Linked DNA regions of Saccharomyces cerevisiae S288C. The gene in region 4 interacts genetically with the main gene of each other region. Each region holds a gene or a part of one and is shown on either strand. Other genes may lie near its edges. The genes, in order: PUT7, PGM1, SLM3 and ERV15.

What was found.
Region 1: mutations in ERV15 (region 4) and PUT7 together harm fitness more than expected from each alone (negative genetic interaction), as found in Saccharomyces cerevisiae (2 studies listed by BioGRID).
Region 2: mutations in ERV15 (region 4) and PGM1 together harm fitness more than expected from each alone (negative genetic interaction), as found in Saccharomyces cerevisiae (2 studies listed by BioGRID).
Region 3: mutations in ERV15 (region 4) and SLM3 together harm fitness more than expected from each alone (negative genetic interaction), as found in Saccharomyces cerevisiae (2 studies listed by BioGRID).

Annotation. Positions count from the first base shown.
Region 1 is NC_001144.5:702,285-707,340, reverse strand, and holds PUT7 (Put7p), read right to left. Parts: upstream 2,156-5,056; coding exon 1,211-2,155; downstream 1-1,210. Other genes in the region: ECI1 (dodecenoyl-CoA isomerase), read left to right, coding at 301-1,143; RSO55 (Rso55p), read left to right, coding at 2,381-2,848; YLR278C (uncharacterized protein), read left to right, coding at 3,317-5,056.
Region 2 is NC_001143.9:201,910-205,753, reverse strand, and holds PGM1 (phosphoglucomutase PGM1), read right to left. Parts: upstream 2,214-3,844; coding exon 501-2,213; downstream 1-500. Other genes in the region: serine/threonine protein kinase YPK1, read right to left, coding at 1-47. UniProt on the Saccharomyces cerevisiae protein: Minor phosphoglucomutase isozyme that catalyzes the reversible interconversion of alpha-D-glucose 1-phosphate and alpha-D-glucose 6-phosphate. The mechanism proceeds via the intermediate compound alpha-D-glucose 1,6-bisphosphate.
Region 3 is NC_001136.10:391,443-396,634, reverse strand, and holds SLM3 (tRNA-5-taurinomethyluridine 2-sulfurtransferase), read left to right. Parts: upstream 1-2,722; coding exon 2,723-3,976; downstream 3,977-5,192. Other genes in the region: ATP-dependent RNA helicase DBP10, read right to left, coding at 1-2,418; GPR1 (Gpr1p), read left to right, coding at 4,578-5,192. UniProt on the Saccharomyces cerevisiae protein: Catalyzes the 2-thiolation of uridine at the wobble position (U34) of mitochondrial tRNA(Lys), tRNA(Glu) and tRNA(Gln).
Region 4 is NC_001134.8:642,830-647,146, reverse strand, and holds ERV15 (Erv15p), read right to left. Parts: upstream 1,598-4,317; coding exon 1,169-1,597; downstream 1-1,168. Other genes in the region: AME1 (Ame1p), read left to right, coding at 15-989; YBR209W (uncharacterized protein), read right to left, coding at 4,247-4,317.

The DNA.
Region 1 (5,056 bases), on a different chromosome or scaffold from region 4:
ATTGCGATAATGCTCGAAGTATTTCGTCATCTGCAACTGTTCTTTTTCCTGATTTTAGATTTTAACTTCTCGTCATTTTGAAAAATAAAATAAATGCGGCACGAAGGAAAGAATCTGAAATTGGCGACGGGCATAAGAAATATTATTCCGAAAGGCTGTAGCAGTGACCGTTTCTCTTTTACCCCAAGAGCGGTTAATAAAAGTGAAGCACTATATATAAGAACTGAAAGATGAACATATGGATAGATAATTGGAGTGTATGGCACAAATTGCTCGCACAGTAAAGGAAGGAAGAACAATATGTCGCAAGAAATTAGGCAAAATGAGAAAATCAGTTATCGTATTGAAGGACCATTCTTCATTATTCACTTAATGAACCCTGACAATTTGAATGCACTAGAAGGTGAAGACTATATTTATTTAGGAGAGTTACTAGAACTAGCGGACAGAAATCGTGATGTATATTTTACAATTATACAAAGCAGTGGTAGATTTTTTTCCAGTGGTGCTGATTTCAAGGGTATTGCAAAAGCCCAAGGGGATGATACCAATAAATATCCTTCGGAAACAAGCAAGTGGGTGTCAAATTTTGTCGCTAGAAATGTTTATGTCACTGATGCCTTCATCAAGCATTCCAAAGTTTTAATTTGCTGTTTGAATGGACCAGCAATAGGGTTGAGCGCGGCACTGGTAGCGTTATGTGACATTGTGTACAGTATAAATGACAAGGTTTATTTGCTATACCCCTTTGCTAACTTAGGACTAATTACCGAAGGTGGTACAACGGTCTCTTTGCCATTGAAGTTTGGCACAAATACGACGTATGAATGCCTCATGTTCAACAAACCATTCAAGTACGATATAATGTGCGAGAACGGATTTATAAGCAAGAATTTTAACATGCCATCTTCAAACGCTGAAGCGTTCAATGCAAAGGTCTTAGAAGAATTGAGGGAGAAAGTGAAAGGGCTATACCTGCCCAGTTGCTTAGGGATGAAAAAATTGCTGAAATCGAACCACATCGATGCATTCAATAAGGCTAACTCAGTGGAAGTAAATGAATCTCTCAAGTATTGGGTAGATGGAGAGCCCTTAAAAAGATTTAGGCAGCTGGGCTCGAAACAAAGGAAGCATCGTTTATGACGTCCGCTTTCTCAGTGAAACAAAACGCACACACAATATACTTATGTACAGACAATATGTATGCTAATTAATCTATATCATGTTGATCTTGAGGGAAGGTAGTATCAATGTCTTCCTTTGGTGCTAAAATTTCAGGTTCCTCAGGTTCCTGTAAACCTGGGCGTTCCTTCTTAGATGCGCTTACACCGATCATAATCGAACAAACAAGGACTAATATTACCAAAAGACCGCTTCTGGTTGTCTGCCATCTTAAATTTTCGATATGTGACCTGATATCCCCCAGTATCTTGGTTTGAATCTTGTTAGAACAGTCGTTCAATTTCAGGTTTAATTGTCGATACAAAAGGGTGTTTTCTAATTTTTGATTGTTAAATTCTAATTTAGCGTCCTTTTGCAAAAGATCTATTATGATTTCATTCAGTTCATCATGGATTGAGTTAAGTTCTCTCTTGAGTTTTAATAATTGCAAGTGGTGCTCATTTAGTTGCGTGTCTCTAGAGTTTTGAATTGCGAATTTCAATTCTGTTTCTAGCGAGCTGAACAAATGTGATTGTTTATTCAGCTCCATATCCCTTAAGAACAAATCATTGTAACAGGAATAAAACTGATCATTTAGTAGTTGCAACAATAGAGCTATGATAATTTTACATTGTTCATCGGAAAAATTGCCTCTTTCACGAAGCATTTGATAAAACTTTATAGTATCCAATTGATTTTGTGAAGTAGTAGGTTTCAATCCATTGCCCTGAGTAATAAAGTCCTCTGAAAATCTGTCTAACAGGCCAATGGAGTGCTTTCCTTCGTTTTCCTTCTCTGGCTTCTCCTGCTTCTCCTTGTTCTTGGATAATGGCGATGAGGATAGGTCTGATAACTGGATATTTTTCAATGACATTGATTTCTGCAAAAGTGGTTTTGAATACGAACTAAAGCACCGCAAACACAACAACGAGCCTTGCCGCCGTATTCTAGTTTTGAAGCATCGAAGCGGCAATGTACGTATTAACCGCATCATTAGTCTATTAGATGTTCAGAGTTTACATGTATACATAAACCTCTTCCATTCTTCCTTTATCGATAAAATTACTATACACTTAACTAAACTGTGCATTTTCCCCGGACTACCATAGCGCGCTATACGTTCCTAGAACGGATATGAGTTTATATATAAGTCTATGCTACCAACCTACAAGCTATGCGACCCTGGAAAAAGCGCAGAAGAATCCGAGACTAGTAAACTATGATGAGGGGAGCGAGTAAGAGGTCAATCAGCAGTGCCGCAGTGCTGCTGATTAAAAAGAACAAGCTACCACCGCGACCAAAGTTCACGCCAGAGATGGAAGCACAATGCACTGAGAAATTCCTTCATGGCGGCAGAGGGCCCGGTGGCCAAAAGATTAATAAGTGTAATTCTAAGGTACAACTACGGCATGAACCCACTGGGATCGTTGTCGAGTGCCAAGAAACGCGGTCACGTGAGCAAAATCGAAAGCTTGCCCGGCTTAAGCTCGCGCGCGAACTTGCGGCGTCGTACGACACGATGCCGTCCAGAGAGGAGGCGCTTCTACAGTGGCACCGTCAACAGAAACGCTCGCAGCGCCGGCGCAGCGTCGCGAAGTACGAGCAGCGTGAAGAGGCCGCTCGAGTCGAAAAAGAGGAACGCGAGGCCCGAGACAGAGAAATGGTGCGCGAGTTATTCCGCCGGTAACCGCAGGTGAAATTAGATGGAGGAGAAAAGAAAAAAAAAAATGAAAAAAAAAGTGTAACTTTGCTAAAATTTTCACCTGCGGGTACCGTCGGTCAAGACGTGGGTTGCGAACAAAAACCCTGGAACAACAATACATTGAATAGTTCCTGCTCCTGCACACTGCACGTTGAGACCTGAATCGCATCGTGTGGTGCTTATACGCTAATCTTTGTTAGCGGACATACTTTTTCTTTTTCTTTTCGCCTTTTCTTAGTATCTTTCTTGGATTCTTAACTATTTTGCTTTTTTTAGTCATTCATTATATATGGTTCTTTAGATCGGTCGTTCCATTAACATTTTTTTTTTTTTTTTTTTACACGTCAATAGTATAACTTACTCCCCACCATTTTTCCACTCTTTCATAAAGACAAGTGTATTTCACGTACTCATAATCTTCGGGCTAACTACCAACAATACACGTAAATAATAATGGGCCGTCCAAGGAAGAATGTTAGCCAGGAGAAAATACAACAGTTGAAGAGAGAACTGGAGCTGGCCGGTAACAGGACAGACGTCTTGTTGCAAGACAAAAAGGGCCGTTCCAGGTCTTGTCTTCTTTGTAGAAGAAGAAAGCAACGATGCGACCATAAATTACCCAGTTGTACCGCCTGTTTGAAAGCAGGAATAAAGTGCGTGCAGCCCTCCAAGTACTCTTCTTCCACTTCGAACAGTAACACCAACAACAACACCCCTACAGCTGGCACTGTACCTCCTACACCTCATCCTGTAATAAAACGTGAGCTGCAAGATAGCAGTATTGGCGCTGGCGCTGGCGCTGCCACTTCTCTGAATGACATGACGATAATAAAACCCATTTCCACTAGCAATAGTAATGTTGATGCTGGCGACGCGAATGAATTCAGGAAAACGATAAAGTCCGTCACGACAAATTCCAATCCAAACCTGATGAGGCAAGACAAAGATCAGTATACGATTTTCTTGGAGAAAAAACTAAAAAGTTTGGAGACTTTGCTCGATTTATCGCCGGGATGCAACCAGTACAACTACGAATTATCCCAGTACAAGAAGGTTTCTCATTTGTTCAGTAACAACACTTCTGATTACTCTAGACCGAACAGCAGCAATATGGTCATACTGCCGCTGCCATCTCCTTCCAACAAACCCCTGGAGAACACAAACAATAACGGCAGCAACGTTAATGCGGCCACTAACGATACATCGGCCAGTACGAACAACATAAACAACAATAATGCTATCTGCCAATCCGCGAGCCTTTTGAATGACCCTTTAGAGACGCTGGACTTCACTAAGTGTATTTTTGCCAAATACAATTTGAAAAAAGAGTTTTTGATGTATGACCCTATTTTTGAACTGAATGAGAAGCTGTCACGTTCCTTCTTGGACACTTTTTTCACAAGATTACAATTCAAGTACCCTATCTTAGACGAACAAGAAATCTATACTTTTTATGACCACTACCTCCACAACAAGATTCTTATCCCACCATCTTCTCCCGCCACGTCTTCCGCAGCACCACCGTCGAATTCACATTCGTATTCTGAAATAGAATTTCATTTTCTATCCGGCAGAATGTGGCTTGTCTTCAGCATCAGCGCCTACTTACTGATGACCACAGGTAAGTACAAGGGGTTTCCACCTCACCGATATTTCTCCACCGCTATCCGTCACATCACTAAGTGTGGTCTACATTTGAATTATGTTCAGCAAATAGAACTGTTGACATTGCTTGTCCTTTACATTATTAGGACTGATAGAGATTCTCTGATACTATATGACATAATCAAGGATGTCATGGGCATATCCAAGAAGAAACTTCATCTAAATCAATGGTATCCTAATGATCCATTTGCAAATAAGAAACTGCGACTATTTTGGTGTGTTTACCTGTTGGAAAGAATGATTTGTGTTGCTGTGGGGAAACCTTATACAATCAAGGAGTCGGAAATAAATTTACCTCTTTTCAATAACGACTCTTTTTATACAAAAGGTGTGCATGCGGCGGCTCCATCAACCAATGACCATGGTGTGCAATTCATCAATCAGTCTCTAAAGCTGCGAAGAATTGAATCTCAATTTGTAGAGACTTTACAGCTATTGAAAAACGATTCCAGGTCAGTGAAGCAATCCATTGATCAATTGCCCCTAGTACGAAAATTTTTTGAAGATTTGGAAGTTTGGAGAAAAAGT
Region 2 (3,844 bases), on a different chromosome or scaffold from region 4:
TCTTCTTTAGATTTTCCAAACTTAAACTTTGACTTCCAAGAATACATTTTCAGGAACTGTATTAATGTTTGTTGATATGAGAGGAACTTTGAAGTGTCAATTTCCCGCTGTATACAAAGAAATTGTAGAGTAATCTATATCAAAGAATATAAAGGCTTTGAAATTTAACCAAACACAAACAAACCAATTCTAAAAAGTATGGGAGCGAAAAATAACTCAACTGTTGTTGGTATGACGATAGTGTTGATTACCGTTGGCTCGTTCGGGATAAGCATTTTTTAAGCCTTCCAATAGGGGCATGTTTTGATCTTGTTTTCCTGTAGCGCGGCTCTGCCGCGAAGAAAGTCGCGAGTAACGAAAAACAAAAACAATGTTGTATTATGAAGCTAATTGATAAGTCAATCAGCAAAAAATAGATATACTACATATATCCTCTACATATAAATTAAGATCAGTTAAAACATCTTTGGAAAATTAGTGCTTGTTCAAGACCAATAATTCTATGTGCGGACTGTTGGTTCGTCTGTTCCTAAAATTTCTTTAAATCTTAAGAATTTTACAATGGAGTTGATGACGGGTTTCAAGAAGACGTCAGCTGTTTGGCCATAGTTCTCCTTTTTATCAGTATACTTTTCTACGTATAATCTTATTGTTGCACCAGAACTGCCTGTGCCGGATAACCTCAAAACAAATTTAGTCCCATTCGAAAACTTTACGAAAAGGCCTTGATTTTCAGAGATGGAGCCATCTAGATCTCTATACGAAAAATCACCACAATCGATAACGGTTAAAGACTCATCAGCTGGGAAGTGGGAGCCACAAACGTTTGGCCTTGATACAAATTCACTCAAAAGAGCTACAACTTTTTCGGCCTGCTCGCATTCGATATGTTCGTAATCGTATCTTGTGAAGAAAGTACGGCCATACTCGTTCCAAAATTCGTCCTGAATAGTTTTGATCGAAGCTTCCTTTTCAGGGTTACGCCTATGGTAGATAGCCAAGATATTTAACCAAGCAATAATGGCCCATAGACCGTCCTTTTCTCTGATATGATTGGAACCTGTACCGAAGGATTCTTCACCACAGATTGATAGCTTTTTAGCATCAAATAAGGCACAGAAGAATTTCCAGCCGGTTGGAACTTCGTAACATCTTAATCCCTTTTTTGCTGCAACACGATCAATGGCTGAGGATGTAGGAAATGAACGTGCCAAGCCATAAATACCTTGTTTGGCGAAGTATGGAATTTCGGGTGCATATTCGGCAATAATGGCAACAGAATCACCTGGCGAAACGAAAGCAGGGCCATAACCGTAAATCATATTCCTATCACCATCACCATCGGAGGCTGCTCCAAAGGCAATTTTTTCGCGGTCAACCCTGTCAACAAGAGTTCGTGCATAGGTTAGATTCGGATCGGGATGTAAACCGCCGAAATCAGGTAAAGGGTGCCAATTTTGAAGAACTTCCTCTGCCGGTAAACCAAATTCATCAACAAATATAGCCTTACCATATGGTCCTGTAATACCATTTAAGGAGTCAAACAACAACTTCCACCCTTTGTCTTTGCGCTGTTTCGCTAAGAAGCTTTTAATTAAGTCAAAATCAAAAATTTCCTTCAGAAATTGAACGTATGCTTTGGCAGGATCAATTATGTCCACTAACAATGGGCCATATTTTTGGTTTTTACCAAGCTTGTTCAAATTCAACTTGGGGAAGTTCTTTATAATTTTATAGTGAGTTAATTTTTTAGACGCTTCCCAGATAGCGTTAGTGACACTCTCTGGAGCTGGCCCACCATTAGGTAAATTATACTTGATACCTAAATCATTCTCTGGACCGCCTGGGTTGTGTGAGGCAGTTAATATGATACCACCACCGGTACACTTTTCCTCGTATGTTCTAATTATATGAGAAGCAGCTGGTGTTGAAAGTAAACCGCCTTGACCAATGACTAACTTTCTGACACCGTTTGCAGCACCTACTGCGGCAATCTTGTTCATGATAACATCGTTGTAGAAACGACCATCTCCTCCAACAACTAAAGTGGTTCCCTCTGAGCCATTAGGGATAGATTGCATTGTTGCTTGAATGAAGTTCTCAGTATAATGAGGCTCATCCATGAAAACCTTGGTCTTCTTACGTAAACCTGAAGTACCCGGTTTTTGGTCCTTATAAGCAACTGTTGGTACAGAATCTATTAGAAGTGACATTTACTATTCAATTGAGTTGTTAGTTACCTATTTTTGCACTATTGAACCGAAAGTGGATGAGAGAGAGAATGTTTATAGGTAGACCAAAATCGATGTGATGCGCCCTTCTCCTTTTCTTGCATCCGTAATATAAACGCGAAATACCAGGTAAAAAAAGACAAAATCTCAAATAGCGAGAATGCCGATTTTAGAACATCATTTTTCTATTTACAAGTATAGCATTGTCGGTACTGAATGCCCTTATTCCTCATGACAGACTGAAACCACCGTGATACAATTGTGGTAACGTCATACATTTGACATTTATCAGGGGAAGACAGAGATCCTCTACTAGGTCATATGCGGGATAAAAAAATCTCCACGTCAATAGTGTAAAATTGTAAATAAAACTGTGGGCATTGCTGTTCTCGAGAAAAGCTGCCACTTGTGTTTGAACGGTGTCGGCTTTAGCATCCTGTTTTAAAAAGAAAGCCCTGTAGGGGGCTCGAACCCCTAACCTTATGATTAAGAGTCATACGCGCTACCGATTGCGCCAACAAGGCTTTTAAACGTGATTGTGTTGTATCTCAAAATGAGATATGTCAGTATGACAATACGTCACCCTGAACGTTCATAAAACACATATGAAACAACCTTATAACAAAACGAACAACATGAGACAAAACCCGACCTTCCCTAGCTGAACTACCCAAAGTATAAATGCCTGAACAATTAGTTTAGATCCGAGATTCCGCGCTTCCACCACTTAGTATGATTCATATTTTATATAATATATAAGATAAGTAACATTCCGTGAATTAATCTGATAAACTGTTTTGACAACTGGTTACTTCCCTAAGACTGTTTATATTAGGATTGTCAAGACACTCCGGTATTACTCGAGCCCGTAATACAACAGATTGATACGACCGTTAGAAATCGATAATAGATTCTCTATAATAGGCTCATTATAATAACTACTATCCCTAAATTCACCTATTTCTCCATATCATGTACGGCAAGTTTTTTTGAGAAGAAATTTATTGTATTTTATACTTCACAATAATGCTTTTAGTAAGATGGGATCAGAACAATCATTACAAAATTTCATTTATAGTTCAGCGATAATGTTCTGAAAAAGTTTCAATTCAATTCACGTGAGGACAATAACACTATGTACAGTAGATAACTTAAAAGTTCTTCTGCCGCGTTTTGGATAATTTCACGAGGGGAAATGGACAATTTTACTTAATACTGCTACCATTTCTTCCCTCGTTTATATCCTTTCATTCATTGCTGGGTTTGCATGGTCAGTCCTTACTAATTAGCTTCCTATAAACTCGATGACAGTTAGGACGCTCACGGACAATTATATTCTGAAAACACAAGTAATACTATTAATCTTTTGTACCAACAATTGATTAATACCAAACTCTTATTCCAAACAAAAGAGGTTCGTACTTAGCCGGTCAAACCTGGGCTGCGAAAAAGTCCGTGAAAATTAAGAAGAGGCTCAGTGTTTTCAGATGAAAGCGATTAAAATTTACAGATATTATCTTCTATTGCGTGGTTGTGCAACGTTTGAATAAATATTTGTAATCCTAATTTCTTGCAGATTCGGATATGACCCAGCAGGCATGTGCGAGTCAAGT
Region 3 (5,192 bases), on a different chromosome or scaffold from region 4:
TATCTGTAATTGTTTATCTTGTATGTCACCAGCTGGCGCATAGTGACTTAAAAAGAAAGTTGGATCCTTAAAAGACTTCGGTTTCTTTTTCTTTTTGTTTTCGTTTTCCTGTGCTTCTAATAATTGGTCCGCATCTTCAAATTCTTTTAAGGCATCCTCTGACACGGTGTAACCTGTCTCACCATCGTCACCTTTCAAAATTTCATCTTCGATAGAATGTGAAAGACCAGCCATTCTTTCCTTTTCTAATAGTTCCCTTCTTTCAGTCGCCTTTCGTTGAATTGGCGCTAATTGCTTTCTTCTCCTTTTCATAAACACTGCCATTTCATCGTCTGGGTTTCTGGTGAACTCAAATACCGTTTCCTTGTTTCTTCTGTTTTGCAATTTAGCCAAAAAATCCAATTTTTCCTTCTCTTCATTTTTACCAAAAAATGCATTTTGAGCATCCCAGCCAGAAGAAATGATCTCTTTACTTCTCTTTAAAGATTCAGGGGAGGCGGAAGTGCGTGTTCTGTAGTAAAGTTTTTCTGCCTTCATGGCTGTTTTCTTCGCCAACTGAAGGTCAAAATTAGAGGACATCAGATTCTTATAAAGATCACCTAAGCCTTCAACATCCAGTCTTGGACATGAACCTAGAACGAGTCTTTTTGTGTAAGAAAGCTTTGGGGGTTGAAATTGATATTCCGGTTTTCCTTCATCTATCCACCTTTTCTTCATCACGTCGACTAGACTATCGTACATTGGTGTTAGAAGAATTTTTTTCCCCAAAAATAGCTCCAAATCTAATAGGTAAGGTAATTCATTTTCAGCGACAATGGAATATGCCCAACCTTTGTTACCGGCTCTTGCAGTTCTACCTACACGATGTACAAAAATTTTTGATGAACCAGGTAATGTGTAATTAATAACATTGGCTAACATTGGAATATCGACACCTCTTGCAGCAACATCTGTAACAACCAAAATGGAAGTTAAGCCCGCCCTAAAATTATATAATTGACGTTTACGAGCATGTTGGTCCAAAGTACCGTAGATGTACGAAATCAAGTATCCGCAGTCTCTTAAGAGTTGAGAAATGTATTCCACATGATGTCTTGTTGGAACGAACAGAATAGTTGCTTTTTCAGAAGGAAGTTCATTAGCTGCAGGCATTTTTTGTTTACGGAACTTTTCCTTCTTGAAATTCCTCCTCTTCTTTTGGCGATCATTTTCATCATCTGAGTCACTATCTGCCTCATTGTTACTATTTTGCAGCTTTTGAAGTTGTTCACTAGTGGCTAACGGAATCTTTATGATTTCTTGCAAAATATATAATAGGTTCGCCTCTCTATCTGCGTTTTTACTGGATAGAAAAAGCATTTCTAAGTTCTCTGAAACTTTCGTTTCCGCGTCCAAACGAACCAAAACTGGATTAACCAAACCAGCCTTAACAAAATCAACCAATGAATTAGGTAGAGTAGCAGAAAACAACAAAGTCTGTCTTGTTGTAGGCAAAGATGCAAGTAATTCATTCAACTGTTCTTGAAAACCCATTTCGAACAACCTATCAGCTTCATCGAAAACAACGTACTCAACACTCTTCAAATCGAGGTTCATTTCAACTTTCAGATGTAAAAATCTACCAGGTGTTGCAATAATAACGTCTGGGTTGGTCATCATCATGCCAAATTGTTCTTCCAAGGAATCACCACCAGTCAAGAGGACGCTTCTTAGTTCTGTTCCTCTGGCAAAATCCTTGAAAACGTTGAAAGTCTGCATGGCTAATTCTCTGGAAGGCGATAAGATGACTGCACGGGCGCCAATTTTACCTGAGTGACTTTTCAATTTTTCCACCATTGGCAAGATGAATGCTGCAGTCTTACCAGAACCGGTACGTGCCATACCAACAATATCCCTACTTTGCAAAATTAATGGGATAGTCTTCCTTTGAATAGGAGTGGGTTGGCGAAATCCCTTCCTTTTAATATTGTTCAATACAATTTTGGATAGGCCAAAGCTGGGAAAACTACCTTTTTTATGCTTTGTTTTCTCCAAGTTATTTGTGGAGAAATATTCATTGACATCATCCTCATCATCACCGGTTTGAGTTTTACCAGATGCATTGTTTTCATCATCTGACATTTCTAACATTGGAAATGCTGCTATTTCCTTCTTACTATTCTTTTTTTTCTTGATGTCCTTGTTTTCAGCCTTCTTCTTATTGTTCACTCCTTCTTCTTCATCTGAGCTGTACTCGATCACATCCTGGACATCGTTGGGACCATAATCAGCTTCAACTTCACTATCGGAGTCGTTAGCATCACTCTCACTATCATTTAAGGCAATTTCATTTGCAATATCAAAGGCGATGTCGTCCTCCTCGCTTCCATTGTCGTCTTGATCTTCGAGATCCCTTTTTCTTTTCTGCACGCCTGCCATATTCTAGGTTAAAGAGATATGTGGTGGTAACTTAAATGACAAAAGTACTTTTAGTGACTTTACTTCAAGCAGTAGGAAGTTAGTGAAGTACTAGTAACTCTCTGTAAAGCCATTTTGTATGAATTTCATCTCATCGCTTGAAAATTTTAAGAGCGCCGGGTAGTAACAATTGGTCTCTTATTTTTTTCTTTCAATAGTTGAGGCAAAACATTGCTTTATTGTAAAAGAATGAAAGTTTGGAAACATACAAGAACGTTAAAAATGTGAGCGTATTGATTTGGCAATCGATTCAAGTCAGATAACAATGCTGGCAAGATATTTAAATTTAATAGGACGGAGGAGTGCTTCACCGTACAGACCACAGCGGCTACCGGCAAAGTTTGACAACGTGATAGTGGCAATGTCATCTGGGGTAGATTCCTCTGTGGCGGCAGCACTATTTGCCGGAGAATTTCCAAATACCCGAGGAGTATATATGCAGAACTGGTCTGAATCACAATCTTTGGACGACCCTGGCAAGGAGCCATGCTACGAGAGGGATTGGAGAGATGTGAACCGTGTCGCTAAGCATTTGAACATCCGAGTTGACAAAGTTAATTTTGAGCAAGATTATTGGATAGATGTATTTGAACCAATGTTGAGAGGCTACAGTGAAGGGTCGACACCCAATCCAGATATCGGTTGCAACAAGTTCGTCAAGTTCGGCAAGCTGAGAGAGTGGCTGGATGAGAAGTATGGGACGGGTAACTATTGGCTTGTTACTGGTCATTACGCCCGAGTTATGCAGGAAATGAATGGAAAAGGATTATTCCATTTACTGAGAAGCATTTATAGGCCCAAGGATCAAAGCTATTACCTTTCACAAATCAACTCCACTGTTTTGTCATCTTTGTTGCTACCCATTGGCCATCTAACGAAACCAGAAGTACGAGATTTAGCGAAGTATGCAGGCCTCCCGACTGCAGAAAAGCCTGATTCACAGGGCATATGCTTCGTCAACAATTCCCAGCATGGGAAGTTCAAGAATTTTTTAAAGCACTACCTACCCAGTTCACCGGGTGATATCATTACCGTTGACCCACAATCCGGTGCCAAAACGACATGGGGCAGACACGATGGATTGTGGTCTTACACAATTGGACAGAAAGTGGGCATATCCATGCCACAAGCTGACCCTAATTACCAAGGGACCTGGTTTGTCAGTGAAAAACTAAGGGATACCAACGAAATCTTGATAGTCAGAGGAAGAGATAATCCGGCGCTATACAGTGACACTATGCGAATCGAAAACTTTTCGTCTTTGGGCCCCAGGGAGGACACTATAAACGCTTTCCAAAATACTGGTGCCTTGACATTACAATTCCGGTCCCTGCAGGTCCCAGTCCAAATTAAATCGTGCAAACTGAATCGCTCTGCCGACAACCTCGACATAACAATACACTTAGCCTCAAAACAACGTGCCATAACTCCTGGGCAATCGTGCTGTCTATATATCGACGATAGAGTCCTTGGGAGTGGGCCCATTTCCCATGTTAATAATAATGACACCCATGCATAGTGATGATAATGAATTTAGTATATCACCTTATACGATGCGCCGCAGCAATTAATCTTAGCAACATACTTGCCTAATTGAACCACGGTGGTACGATACAGCCAAGAAGAGCTCATGAAGCGGCTGACCATTTCGAAAAGTAATCTGTATATATGAAGGTCTTTTCCCTTGAATCATGTCTCAATAAGTAGTTCATTTTTTTTTGCCCTCTTGTTTTTCTTTTTCATTTTTTTAAATCACACTTTTTTTTCTTTTCAAGATTTATAAATCTTCCTTCCAGGTTTGAGCCGGACCCATTGTTTAATTAAAGCATAGAAGGCAACGAAGGAGTGGGTTATAGAATTAGCATTGCGGCAAAAACGTCATATTTATTAATATTTATTTGCGAAGGTCATATTCAACGCAATCGCACGTCCTCTTCCGTCTTTTTTCTAGCTTTTGTCCTTTTTTATTTGTCTACATCCCTTTCTCTACGGTATCCAGAAGAAGGTGTGTGTGTGTGTGTGTGTGTGTGTCTATAAAAAGCAGTAAGAGTCACCAAAAAAAAAAAACGACAAACAAGTGATCCGAAGTGTGACGAATAAAGCAAACTCTCCAACTCAAAATGATAACTGAGGGATTTCCCCCGAATTTAAACGCGTTGAAAGGGTCATCCTTACTAGAAAAGAGAGTTGATTCTCTCCGACAGCTTAACACTACCACGGTTAACCAGCTGCTGGGGTTGCCGGGGATGACCTCTACATTCACGGCTCCGCAACTGTTGCAGTTAAGAATAATAGCTATAACTGCGTCTGCCGTGTCCCTTATTGCCGGTTGCCTCGGAATGTTCTTCCTTTCTAAAATGGATAAGAGACGAAAAGTCTTCAGACATGATCTCATCGCATTTTTGATAATTTGCGACTTTCTTAAAGCTTTTATTCTGATGATTTATCCCATGATTATCCTTATTAATAATAGTGTGTATGCAACACCTGCATTTTTTAATACCTTGGGTTGGTTTACGGCCTTTGCCATCGAAGGTGCAGACATGGCCATAATGATATTCGCCATACATTTTGCTATTTTGATCTTCAAGCCTAATTGGAAATGGCGAAATAAAAGATCGGGAAATATGGAGGGTGGCTTGTACAAAAAAAGGTCATATATCTGGCCAATTACTGCATTAGTACCTGCCATTTTAGCAAGCTTAGCCTTCATTAATTATAATAAACTCAATGAC
Region 4 (4,317 bases):
AGAAAAACCTCAGTATGGATAGAGACACTAAATTAGCTTTTAGGCTGAGGGGCAGTCATTCAAGAAGGACAGACGATATAGATGATGATGTTATTGTATTTAAGACGCCAAATGCTGTTTATAGAGAGGAGAACTCACCTATTCAATCTCCTGTTCAACCCATTTTGTCTTCACCAAAACTTGCGAATTCTTTCGAGTTTCCTATTACCACTAATAACGTAAATGCGCAGGACCGTCATGAACATGGGTATCAGCCCTTGGATGCAGAAGACTATCCCATGATCGACTCTGAAAATAAAAGTCTTATAAGCGAATCGCCGCAAAATGTTAGAAATGATGAAGACCTTACTACTCGTTACAATTTCGATGATATACCCATTAGACAGCTATCATCGTCTATCACTTCTGTGACCACAATTGATGTTTTATCTTCTTTATTCATAAACTTATTTGAAAATGATTTGATTCCGCAAGCTTTGAAGGATTTCAATAAAAGTGATGATGATCAATTTAGGAAACTATTGTACAAATTAGATCTGCGACTCTTTCAAACGATATCAGACCAAATGACCAGAGACTTGAAAGACATATTAGATATCAACGTGTCGAATAATGAGCTCTGCTACCAACTGAAGCAGGTACTTGCTCGAAAAGAAGATTTGAACCAGCAGATAATATCGGTACGAAATGAAATTCAAGAGTTGAAAGCCGGTAAAGACTGGCATGACTTACAAAATGAACAAGCCAAACTGAACGACAAAGTGAAGCTAAATAAGAGGCTAAATGATTTGACTTCTACTTTGCTAGGCAAATACGAGGGAGATCGCAAAATTATGAGCCAAGATAGCGAGGACGATTCAATACGGGATGACTCAAATATTCTGGATATTGCACATTTCGTAGACTTGATGGATCCATATAACGGACTTCTGAAAAAGATAAATAAAATTAATGAAAATCTTTCTAACGAATTACAACCAAGTCTATAGGGAATTGGTTCAAAAGATGTATATATATATATATATATATATATATGTATGTATATATGTATATATGTATATATGTATTACTTCCATACTAAGGAAGTTGTGTTATAAGGTCATTTTTATGTGGTAGACATACTTCATAGATATGCACAAATCTCTCTTTTTTTTTCCTGTTGTCGCTATTAGCTTATCAAATTTGCATCATTTTCAAGTAACGCTGTGACCATTCTGTAGAAGTAGAAAAAGAATATGAGAAGGTAAAATCCCAATTTTAAAAAGCATTCAATTTTGCATCTACCCAATTTTCTGAAAATATCCGTGGCGTCCAGTAGATGTGTTTTCTTGTAGACTTTACTTGCGTTATATGCTAGAACAGGGACATTCAAGAGAAATACGAACCAGTACCCGTTAAAAAGAAACAATGCAGAAATGAAAGCTTGTAGAATTGCCTCTGGTACACTCAACCTATTCACCCTCTTACACAGTTCGATTGAGTTGATATAGTCTGCTTCAAGATCACCATATAATATAGTAAAGTATATCTGGCAAATGGAATTCAAACAATTCAGTATAAGACCCGTCACGAATAGCGATAATCCGGTTCCTGACATCTTTACTCTTGGCTTCGAACTTCTTGGTGCCTGCAGTTAGTTTTATCTTTAGTAAAAAATGATAATGAAAGTGCTTATATGAATAAAGGTATTAATGTCTTCGTATTTAGCAATGTAATTGAAAAATCATTCGTGGCCCACGACAATATTTCCAAATTATCACAGCTTTCGATAGAAGTGAACGATTTTGAATTAGAGAGAGTAGTAGTGAGCTAGACGTACTGTGTTTTGAGAATTGAAGTTTGTATAGCAAAACTATACTATCATAATGCAACATTCAAGAAAAATAATGGTATAGAAACAAAAAATAACTCCGATACGGGGAGTCGAACCCCGGTCTCCACGGTGAAAGCGTGATGTGATAGCCGTTACACTATATCGGATAATAACTTATGTTTGATTTAACCTTAAAGATTTTCTATGTCAAGTTTAAACTGGAGGGCTTTCTATTGCCGAACAATCCTAGCTAAAGGCTTTTTTCCCTATTTACAGAAGAAAATGTAATGACTGAAGATTTTGAAAGGTCTCGTTTGATGGCTAGCAGGCTACACCTAGAATTACCCAATTCCAAAGGTTGGTCATCATAGGAAAACAACCAGCATGAACCTTACCCTAGTTCTCTTGCTACTATTTCACATCATCAGGTGATGTCAACTCAGCTTATTGTCAGTGACGACGGATTAGCATTGATACCTGATGTCATTTTAACACGTGTGTTGGATGGGATCCTATACACACCCAAAGAAGATGATTTTTACAACGACACCACCACCATGTATTATGTTTTTGCCACCTGGGGTGATCAAAGTTGGTCATCCTTCGGTTATGATAATACAGCAAGCCTGCAAGAGCACGAAAGATATGTTTTCTAACTTCTTGCCGAGCAGGGAATATTGGGGATTTGGACCGTTGGAATAAATGGGTCCTCAATATTGACAGGAGTCGGTTTTGGAATGAGAATTAACTATCATTTAGTGATGGTAATCCTATTACTAGAATATTATCAGATACAATGTTAGAGGACAATAGGAATACATAAAATAGAAGAAATAATGATGGCATTACATCGAAATATCGATTACACTATATCTTGGAGGAGAACTTTTTATTTTATTTTGTATATCTGATGCTATAGCCTCTAACAATAAGTTAATCCCAACAACTATCTCAATATTCATATAATCGTCTGAGAGATTGATAACAGCTAGTAATGTAGCTAACAGTCAAAAGATAATAAATGATTCATCTTCCAACAGCTTGCGGGGAAAGTTTTTCACACTAATGTGCGGTGTTGTTTTCCTTAACAGGCTCTGAGCAAAATATGGAGAGAGAGGTCTCATTTACTTTGCCATTCTTCATTTAAGCTTGAGGCTTGTTCTACTGAAATGTTAAGTTCTCAGAAGCCAACTTTGGATCAAAGGGCTTTGTTAGTAGCAAAACGCTATTTCTATTGATTTTGATTATTTTTCGAAACATTAAGAGCACAATGTATATTAATTTTCCCTGATGAATAGTTAAGATGATTAGATGGGCTAGGCGCTTAAAAATGAGAAACAGGTGAAATTTGAGATAAATGTTGATTTCGTTGTTGCTAAAGGCTATAATATCAGGTATACAAAATATACTGGAAATATACCTCGAGAATCTTGGAATCCACGAAAGGGAATAGATATTACTCCATAATAATATTATGTTGGAACGAGAGTAATTAATAGTGACATGAGTTGCTATGGTAACAATTCAATGCTTACATCGTATATTAATGTACAACTCGTATACGTTTAAGTGTGATTGCGCCTATTGCAGAAGGAATGTTAAACGAGAAGCTCAGACAATACTGAAGCTGTGTTAAAGACCTATTAGTTGAACATGTTATGGTAGGTACATATATGAGGAATATGAGTCGTCACATCAATGTATAGTAACTACCGGAATCACTATTATATTGGTCATGATTAATATGACCAATCGGCGTGTGTTTTATATACCTCTCTTATTTAGTATAAGAAGATCAGTAATTATTTCTTCATTAATACTAATTTTTAACCTCTAATTATCAACATATTATTTCTCCTTTCGTTTTATCTGATGTCATTCATTGATTGCCAGCAACTATCCCAAACCTCATGTGATTCTCGGATTCCTTACCACGAAAAAACAGATGTGTAAGTGTATTTGAACACACAATAATAAAAATGATTATCATTCCCAGATGGAGGAGCCCATTCCAAACATAGCAAAATTCAGCACATCCTCTTCGTTAGCATTTCCGTATGGAAGCAACCCTCAGTCCAACAAATACCGTTTAAACAAATGAGCGACATTTATTCGCTTTTTCTAAAATAAAGGTCCCCGCTGAAACTTCTTTGCATACAGTTCAAATATTCCACCGTTCTCTTATATGTGGGGCTGGCACTACTTCGTATAATTGACTATACTATCTATATTAGTCTTCCCACATGTAATAGAAAGCTCGTATGGCGCAGTGGTAGCGCAGCAGATTGCAAATCTGTTGGTCCTTAGTTCGATCCTGAGTGCGAGCTTCTTTTTTTTTTTGCAATCCTTATTGAACTTTTTTTCTTGCTGCAGTCTCCTCAAAGGCAACATGTTCTTTGCTTTTTTTCCCCAACGACGTCGAACACATTAGTCCTATGGCTTGCTGCAGATAAGGCTACTATGTGTATTGGCAATACCCTTTTTAAAATTGGCAGATCTCTTAT